Linked DNA regions of Caenorhabditis elegans. The protein of the gene in region 1 interacts with the protein of each later gene in a pairwise test. Each region holds a gene or a part of one and is shown in the gene's direction. Other genes may lie near its edges.

Region 1 (4,639 bases):
CCCTGTTACCATCATCATCAATTCACTTTTCTGTATGATACGGGCGCTAATAAATATTTTACAACATGCTTGATTTCCCACAGATTTCGTTTAAACATATATCATAACCATCAAATGGGATGTTCTACATGTAGAACAAATTATACTTTCTTCCAATAAATACAGAATTAAAAATTTCCTAAATAAATATGAACTGTTTTGGGATTTTTTACACTTATTTTCAAGGCTGCGATAAGAACGGTCAAACTTTCATAAAAAATTGAAATATCTGGAAAAGTGGAGATACAAGCAGTACTCAGTAATACCCTGAAGCTTATTTTATTTCCTAGTTAGGTGTTAAATATTTCTTAAGCTAAGAATTTCGTAAATCGATTTATTTATAAATCTAGCTATGTAAACATAGTCATGGAGATATGCCTACATTCCTACGCATTCGATGCAGCTGAGGGTTTGGCAGATTTCCTTTAACTTGATGATCGTAACCTTTTCAACTCCTTCGCAAAAAAATAGGGTAACCGTAAATGCATAAATCTACCCTTATCTAGGTACCATCAAATAGCTCACGCATAAGATAGGAATCTGACAATAGTATGAAAACATTACTGAGAAGCTTACTTTCGGTCTTCAGTGTAGAAACATAAATACCTTCCTTTGGGCCGTCTACGTCTAATTTGTCGTTAGGCCGTTACTCGGTATTCAAAACGAGTTACACCCACGGTAGGCACGCAGATGGGCCTTTCCGTAACTGAGTGGAAGATACTCGATTTAGCACTTAATTTACTGTATATTTTCTGATTCAAATTCTAGACCACTATGTATTTCTTCAACTCATCAATCATTCCCCGCTTCTCACTTTAAAAAAAAAATAATAATAACAATATGGTTGAGTTGACCCAAAGCCGTAACAACAACGGTCATTTCCATCGGCTGGCTGTGTGGTCGAGGGAAGGATCCATTACAATCGCAATAAATGCGGATTCAAAGCGCAAAATCCCTGCGTCTCCCTTCAATTGTTCAATGTCTAATAGTTCTTCTGGCAGATGATACGTCCTCACAACATCTGGCCTTTCCTTCCTTCCACTGCTACAAACACACATAGCAAAGGTCATCTCCTGATGTCTCTAGGTCTCTTCGAGTAAATGAAGAGGGTCTTTCTCTGTTGTTTCGAAGGAACCGCTACGCTGACACGCGACGCACGTCAAATGTCAACTTGTCTTCGTTCGACGTCTCCCCCCAACGTCGTTTTCGTGTATATCCATCTTTTTTCGAGACGTTTTTATTCCGTTTTTGCGGAAGGGTGTTGTTTTGAGTTATTGATCCCTTTGTTTTTCGACAAGAACCGTTTGATGTAAAAGTTAATATCAAGTGACAGATCCTGATGGATCCTGTCAGATTATGGTAGGATAGTATACTTTTTATAGTGAGTGAACTGACACTAGGTTGGCAAGAGTATACCTATCTACACATTTGCTCAAACAAAAATAACCTTACTACAATAATGGGAAGCGCTAGAAATTGTGCAACCACCGACCTAACACATCTTATTTTACGCACAATTTTGGCTCCATTACGGCCTGCCCAAATATTCGTGGTATAATAGAATCTATGTCTATTCCATACATTATGGCTATACTAAAATGTCGAAATAAGATTTTGAATTCTATTTTTTTAATCAAAAGTTATTTTACTATTCAGTTTTCACTTATCAAATGTTTATCATAATAAACTATCTTCAAATCTGACTTTCTTTGAAATTTCGATCCTACCACATGAGGCAATGTATTTTTGGGAAAATTCACACCAGATCTTCCGAACACCTACTAATTCAAGGTCATTTCCTCTTCTTTGTTTCTAAATTTCTCCTTCAAAACTTTCAGTTTTTAATTCAAATTTTTAACTTTTTTTTAGAATCTAATTATTAATTTCAGAAAATGGTGGGGACACACCCAGCCAATCTCAGCGAGCTTTTAGACGCCGTCTTGAAAATAAATGAGCAAACTTTGGATGATAATGACAGTGCAAAGTGAGTTTTTTGTTTTTAGTTTTTGAGATTTGGTTTTTGAAAGAAATTCAGAAGACGAGCCATAATTTTTGGAGATCTAGAAAGTTGTTTTCAATTTTAGTAATAGTTTGTGAAAATATTCAAAAATGATAAAATTTTTGAGAACATCTCCACAGTATATTTTCCAAAACCTAAAATTTTATTTCTTTCAGAAAACAAGAGCTACAATGTCATCCCATGCGTCAAGCCCTATTCGATGTTCTCTGTGAAACAAAAGAAAAAACAGTACTGACAGTTCGTAATCAAGTGGACGAAACTCCAGAAGATCCTCAATTAATGCGACTTGATAATATGTTAGTGGCGGAAGGCGTTGCAGGACCAGATAAAGGAGGTTCATTAGGAAGTGATGCAAGTGGAGGTGATCAGGCTGATTATAGACAAAAGCTTCACCAGATTCGAGTTTTGTACAATGAAGAGCTGAGAAAGTATGAGGAGGTACGCTATTTTCAAAAGCAAAAACTCAGATCTGACTCAACATTGTTTAATTGAAATTTAGTTTTTTTTGTGAGTGTTCGCGAAAAAAAAGGTCCGAATAAAAACTAAAAATATTTTTTCAGGCTTGTAACGAATTCACGCAACACGTGAGGTCTCTGCTGAAGGATCAATCACAAGTTCGCCCAATAGCACATAAGGAAATCGAACGAATGGTTTATATAATCCAACGAAAATTCAATGGAATTCAAGTTCAACTCAAACAATCCACATGTGAGGCCGTCATGATCCTCAGAAGCAGGTTCCTTGATGCCCGCCGTAAACGGCGAAACTTTTCGAAACAAGCGACAGAAGTGCTTAATGAATATTTCTATGGACACCTCTCAAATCCATACCCATCAGAAGAAGCAAAAGAAGATCTCGCAAGGCAGTGCAATATTACAGTATCTCAGGTATCATTATAAAATTTATTCGTTTTTTTTGCATAGTACCTATCGAAGGCTCTATATAATAAGTCTTGCTCAAATTTTTTAGAATAGCTATTAATAGTTCTATTCATTTCGGACGTAATGAAACTATGAATTATTCTGAATGTTCACAACTTTGTCATATTTTTTGTGGCAGTCGAAAATGATAATGAAAATGTTTAGAAAATAATTTTTTAAAAACATTGTCACACCTTAAACTTTTTTTTCAAAATGTTCACTTTCAGGTTTCCAATTGGTTTGGAAATAAACGAATTCGCTACAAGAAAAATATGGCAAAAGCTCAAGAGGAAGCCAGTATGTATGCTGCCAAAAAGAATGCTCATGTAACATTAGGAGGTATGGCTGGAAATCCATACGGAATGCTTCCTGGTGCTGCAGCCGCTGCTGGCCTATTAAATCCCTACAATCCTATGAATATTCCCGGACAAGACACATTGCATATGGGAATGCCACCCTTTGATTTATCGGTATATAATCCACAATTGGTGAGTACTATTAGTCTTTACAGTTTCAATTTTAAATACTCTCTTTCCAGATGGCCGCAGCTCAATACCAACAACAAATGGACAATGCTGATAAAAATTCATAAATAATACTCAGCCAGTTGGTAATATTGAAATCTCAACCAATCATCCCATCTACCATCACACAATCTTGCTTTCTTCTCAATCGAATTCCCGATCAATCTCGTTCTGGTTATTCTGTTAGACCATCGACTTTTTTGTATTTTTCTTTCCAACCAGCTTGTCCTTTCTTGAATTTTTTACTTGCACAGACACACCCACCTGTTTTCAGATCTCTTCTTGGCATGAGTTTTGGAGCATTGATAATAAATTTAATTGAATTTTTTTAAAACACAATAATAACAATTTTGCAAAAAAAGGTTTCACGATATATTCAACCAAGTTCTACCGTACACTTACAGAAACTCACAAAATATTAATAATAAAAAACTGTGGCGAGAAAATTTTAAGCGTGTTGGAAAATACTCGGCTTCCAGTGAAAAACGACGTTTTCCGGTGAAATGAAAATTGCTAGTTTCCTTCTTACTATTGAGTATTCTTTTTTTTCTTTTTTTTTAAACACATATATTTTTGTCAGATGTTCTCTATTTTTTAAATTTCAACTTTTGATAAAAAAAAATTACAGGAAGTGTTTCTAATGGGATGATGCAAGTGAATTTCTCGTCATTTCTCGACAATTTTTTTGCAATGCAAGTGTGCGGAGAAATGACGAGAAATGACGTGAAATTCGCAATTTCTCCGCATTTCTCGACATCCACACATACCGTAGTTGGTGACGTTGTTGGCGGCAAATCGCGGCGAGACCCGCTGTGTCGATTTACGAGGATATAGCTAATGTTAGTTTTTCCCAATAAACTTGGTTTTTCTGTCGTTCTTGTTCAATTTTCGTGATCTTTTCGCAGTTTTTACTCTTTTTCATGTATATTTATTGAATTCAATATTGTACTTTTCAATTCTCTGCGCAGTCAAACGTCATTTTTAGTTTTATAGCTATTTTCGGTGGCTTAAAGAAAAAAAATTTTAATTTTCTTTTTCAGAGCTCGATATTGCTCCAGTCAGGATATGATTTGTTGATGTCGTCAGCGCGATGAATTCCGTCACATAAAATATGCACAAAATCGTCAATAACGATC
Region 2 (5,107 bases), on another chromosome or scaffold:
GCCGGCTGGTCGGTGGTTGTGATGGTGGTGGACACACGGGTTACTGTAGTAGGCATACACATCCCCTGGTACGGTATTTGGGGAGCCAGGCGAGAGAATCGAAATAGAAGCGAAGAGCAGGGGAGCAAGAGCATCGATTGCGATACGATGCGTGGAAGAAAAAACCACTGATAACTTTTTTTTTCGAATAATGTTCGGCGCACGTAGCAAAGAGCACACCGTAAGCTTATCAGTTTATACGTCAGCCTCGTTGAGCAAAGATCTGCCTAGGTTTTTGAGTATGACTATGGAGAAGAAAAAGTAGATCAGATTGGGAAACAAAATGGCAAAACTATGTACAAATGAATCAAATTTTGTTAGCCTCTAAATTAGCTTTTTTTTATTCACTCTATTTTAGAGACTTATATCTAAGTTGTCCTTAGTCTTATTAAAAAATGTTTTACTGTAAAAATGTAGAAAAATATTTGCACAAATTTTGTCAGTTGAAAATTTTTTTTACAAGCCCTAATGGGATCGAGTTATAAGCCGTCAAAGTGGAGCAAAAAGAGGCAAGGCGGATAGAGCAGTAGCTCTTTTGCATAGAAACAGTAGCTATATTGAAAATGGAAAGCTTGTAAAAAATTGGTTTAAAAATTTGTTAGCCTCATAATTTTGGCCTTTAATTTAGGCCTTTGATTAATCTTTTGAGCTGAGCCTATTACTCTAGAATTTTTGAAACAACTCAATTCTGTCAATTCAAGCAACAAAAGCACCACACGCTACCTTCCAGGAAATCTGAAATCTATAGGTTAATCTTCTTCCCGTGTCTACCATGTTACCAAACAAAGAAAAACAGTCTGAAACTTTATCCCACTTGACACCTCCTACCCCTCCTCTTCCATATGATCCTAATCTTAATCCCCTTAGAACAAAAGGCGACGTTAATAAAGTGCAGCTGGAGTATAAGTAGATGAGGGAAACGGGGGATGTGGTGCATTGAAGGGAAAAAATGTTGAAACTTTTGTATTTTAATGTTAGCATCTCTATGTCTCTACTCTCTGATTATTGATAAGGAAAATGTGTCAAAAAATGACTGTGCTCTCTGGAAGAGGCGAAAGGTTGCGATATTTTATTACATTCATAGGTGCACATTTAGTTGACAATCTGGAAAGTGTAGTTTCAGAAGGATCTTGTTTAATTAATTAATTTTTTGTGGAAACTTGGAAATAGCTGACTAGGTTTGGTAGAGCTTTTTTGATTCCTGATAATGAATTTGAAAAATTAGGACATTGTCCGCAATTTCCTTAGTAGGCTTGCACCCGTCTTGCTCCACTTTAACAGCTTCTATCTCAGCTCTCTTTGATTTTATCAGAAAAATTTTAACTGACAAAATATGCGCAAAATGTTTTTCTATATTTTACCAGTTAAACATTTTTTGATCCAATCAAAAGCAACAGAGATATAGGCCGTCAAAATAGTTTCTCACATTTTCGGTGGAGCAAATTTCTTTCAGAAACCGAACTCACTTTTAGATTTTTTTTTAATTTCCAAACTAGTCACATTTCCTCAGCTCATGCTCATTCACATGACAAAAAACTTCCGGTGAAACTGGCGGTATAATGAAACTTTTTTTTCAGTCTCATACCGTACATTACATAAACCTTATCAAATAAAAAGAAACTAGTTCCAATCTTCATTCTTTCCACTTTATTTTTCCTTAGCACTTACATTTTTTTTGTTCGAATTTCAAAAATATAATGAGAACAGCTTTGTGCACCTAGTGGGGGCAAAAACGAACAAAAGCAATTTATCTTCAATGCGGAGGACATTGGACACAGGACAGCAGCATGTAAACTTGAATTTGCCCTCCTGGTTCATCTCTTGCGGAGCCTATTTATTATTTTTTTTTTCGAATCCATCCCTTTTTTTTTGGTGTGCTTTTTGTGCTTTCGGGCCACGAGGACCCATCTGCTGTTGCTCACGCACAGACTCTTTTGATAAATGATAATGAGTTTCACGTTTTCTTTTTCAAAATTTAATATTTCTCTCTTGCAGGAACATGAGCGGCGACTCAAAAGTGTGGGCTCACGCGTCCGCTGACACTTGGGCTGTTCAAAATGGAATTTCGACGTACGATTTGGACACGTCGAGCATCAAACGAGAGAAGCGGGATCACAATGAGGTAAAATTTAAGAATTGGTTGTTGTTTTAATTTGCGACTAAATTTCCTAATTAAATTGATTTCTGAAAATTGAAAAAATTTTTGCCGATTAAAAAATTCTTTAGGATCTTCACATTGTAGTTTAAGAAATTCAAAAATCAATTTTTAGAATTAAAAATAATTTTATAAATCGAGCTTTGAAGGGTTTTGTATTGTCTGAAACTTCAAAACTTTTGGAATTTCGGAAAAAAAAATGAAAAAAATGTTCAAAATGAACTGTAATTTTTCAGTTCTGTTACGATAAAATGCTTTCAGAAAATTGATAAAATCTATAAAATCAAAATTGTAAAAATTTTAGAGTTTCGAAATTGGTTTTTCATTGAAATATAAATTTCAAGAAACCGGGAAAAAATATTGTAATATTTCGCAAAAATTTGAAACATCACATTAAAGGCACACATTGTTTTTTTTTCTGAGTTGGTCTCGCCACAGGAGCTAAATTCAACAGATTTTTTTTCATTTGACATAGGAAAACAAATTTCAAATTCGGAAATCCACTAAAAATTCAGAATTTATTATGAAAAAAGTATATTAAAGGTGGAATAGCGCCAGTGGGAATTTTGTCTAAATACACTTATAATGATCCAAAACGACCGAATATTATAATAAAACACCCCACAAAATTTTAGCTTTTTCATAATTTCCGTTCAAACTTTTGCCAAATTGCCAAATTTTTGAAAAATATGAGCTTTCGAGGAAATCCAAAGCAATGTCGCATGTTTCGCCCCCTACAATGTTTCAACACGAATAATTAAAATAAGCTTAAAGTGTAAAAAATGTAGGAAAAAACTTTTTTTGGTCGACTTCCAAAATTATGAGTAACAAAAACTGAGTAATTGTCACTTTTTGACCGCAAATAAAAAAATTTAAGAAAATTTTTGATTGTTTTGATGTTTTTGTTTGATGTGTTTGTTTGATGATGTTTTATTACGATATTCGGTCATTTTGGGACCATAGGAGTGGTTTTTAACAATTTCCCCATTGGCGCTACTCCACCTTCAACAACTACCATAAAAATCTAAGAACATATTTTTTGGGTTTACAACCTACCAGTTAAAGTTCATAGAGCTAGTTCCACACATCCACGATATAATATGCAATTTAACAGCCGATGATCCGATTATCAATATCAACAGCATAAAAGCAATAACAAAATCCTGATAATTTTCACACAAATTGTCCGCCGCTTTTATCTTTTCTCTCCTCATTCTTCTTCGTCTCATCATCGCTCCCCCCCCCCCCCCCCCCCCCCCCACCGACCGATTTATCTCTTTTAATCACATTAATCATGTGTTTCTTATCGAGGGTGGAAAATTGGAAAATTGATAGGCGACATGGAATTTGGCTGCCAAGAATCGGGTACTACTTGGTAGAAAATGTAAATTTGTGTTAGCTGGAAAACCTGAGGTCCCCCACACTTGACTTTTTGCCTCGTCTCGCTAAAACAAAAAAAAGAGGAAAATGCAATGCATGTATTTTTTCGTCGTCGTCGTCGTCGTCGTTTTCTTCGTGTTTGACTTCTTCTACTCCTCTCCAAATTTGCCTTCTCACCCTCCTCTCACACCCGGGGTCTACTGTACCGAATTGAGTGCCTATTGGCGCAATAGGGCGGGGCCCCGGCGCATCGCTCTCTCTCTCACTCACTCCTTCTCTCGAGGGGGGCTAACAGGGGAAAATAGACTGAGAGAGAGAGGAGAAGGCAAGCGAGTCGATCTGCCCCCCGGTTGCCCGTTTCTCTCTCTTTCGGTGGTTTCTCGTATTTTTCCCCCACCAGGGAGAGTCAGAGAGAGGGAGCCCCGCCCACATTCACCCCACCAACCCTCCCCCCAACGATCGGACAAGATTGACATACAACCGTTTTGAAGTGTGTGAGAAGTTGTCATTTTCGATATTCATCTGTCTGTCATATTATTTACGTTCGTTCCATCATCATCGACATCACACGCAGGGCAGAGAAGAACACACGCCGCCACCGCCGGCCCATCAAATCGGCACACTAATCAATCGATCAACGAGAGAAGAAGAAGAAGGGGCGGGCGACAAGCTCTGACCATCATCGTGTGTGTGACAGACTGACTGACTGACACCCCGTTGTGGAAAGAGTTTTCGATCCCGACACGACCATCGTTCATCTTATTCAGCAAGGCCCCGTGTGTCGGCAACGACGATGGCGCAGAGGGTACTTCTTCTTCTTCTTCTCCTTCATTCCGTTTCCCCTCTGCTTCTTCTGACTTTGACATGATACCAGAAAGAGCGCCATCCCTTTTTCCTTTTCTCCTCTATAATTTATCGTTGTGTTGGGTGGTGGCTCGAGCTCATTCTTGGGTTTCCAATCAGCCATTGCGCCCCCCACCGCGCCGTCGCTGTCGCTTTTTTCCCGCTTTCTAGATCTCAAAATTGCAATTTTTAGGTGTTCGCCTTGTTTTAAGCGCTGGTTAGTTACAATATAGTTTCCCAAGCTTCAGAATATAGAAAAACTTGACCCCAAATACCTCGAAAAGTCGTATCTCTGCTCATCTCTAGAAAATCAGTGAATATAATACTTTAAAACTATAGTTCTAGAAAAAACAAATATTTTGTCAGCTTAGAACTTTTTGTTTTAACTGAAAATTACAATGAGCTGCCAAATTGAAGCTACGGTCTGCAAGACTAACAGTTGCACCCCATCGTCCAACTTTGACAGCTTATATCTCAGTTTTCGTTCATCCTATATAAAAATTGTCAACTGGCAAAATCCGTATTATTTCTTTTTCTATAATTTTGTAGTTGACTATTTATTTATATCTTCTAATTGAACCGTGATATAACTTTTCAAAGTGAGGTAGTGAGGTGGAATACTATCGACTTTTGCAAATCGTTAAAATAACACCAGTGAATATTTCAAAATATAAGTACTTATATTAAGCC

Evidence for each region.
Region 2: the proteins of ceh-20 (region 1) and unc-62 interact in binary tests that used the Caenorhabditis elegans proteins (3 or more experiments, as listed by UniProt).

Annotation. Positions count from the first base shown.
Region 1 is NC_003281.10:6,977,956-6,982,594, forward strand, and holds ceh-20 (Homeobox protein ceh-20), read left to right. Parts: upstream 1-1,928; 5' UTR 1,929-1,931; coding exon 1,932-2,023; intron 2,024-2,214; coding exon 2,215-2,497; intron 2,498-2,619; coding exon 2,620-2,946; intron 2,947-3,206; coding exon 3,207-3,467; intron 3,468-3,517; coding exon 3,518-3,571; 3' UTR 3,572-3,830; downstream 3,831-4,639. Other genes in the region: F31E3.6 (uncharacterized protein), read left to right, coding at 4,615-4,639. UniProt on the Caenorhabditis elegans protein: Transcription factor that binds to the 5'-TGATNNAT(G/T)(G/A)-3' PBC/Hox lineage enhancer region of sem-2 to promote cell fate specification in the postembryonic mesoderm (also known as the M lineage).
Region 2 is NC_003283.11:4,495,429-4,500,535, forward strand, and holds the start of unc-62 (Homeobox protein unc-62), read left to right. Parts: upstream 1-2,034; 5' UTR 2,035-2,038; coding exon 2,039-2,161; intron 2,162-3,901; exon of another isoform or gene 3,902-4,367; coding exon of another isoform or gene 4,368-4,379; intron 4,380-5,107. UniProt on the Caenorhabditis elegans protein: Acts redundantly with ceh-20 and ceh-40 to perform overlapping roles during embryogenesis.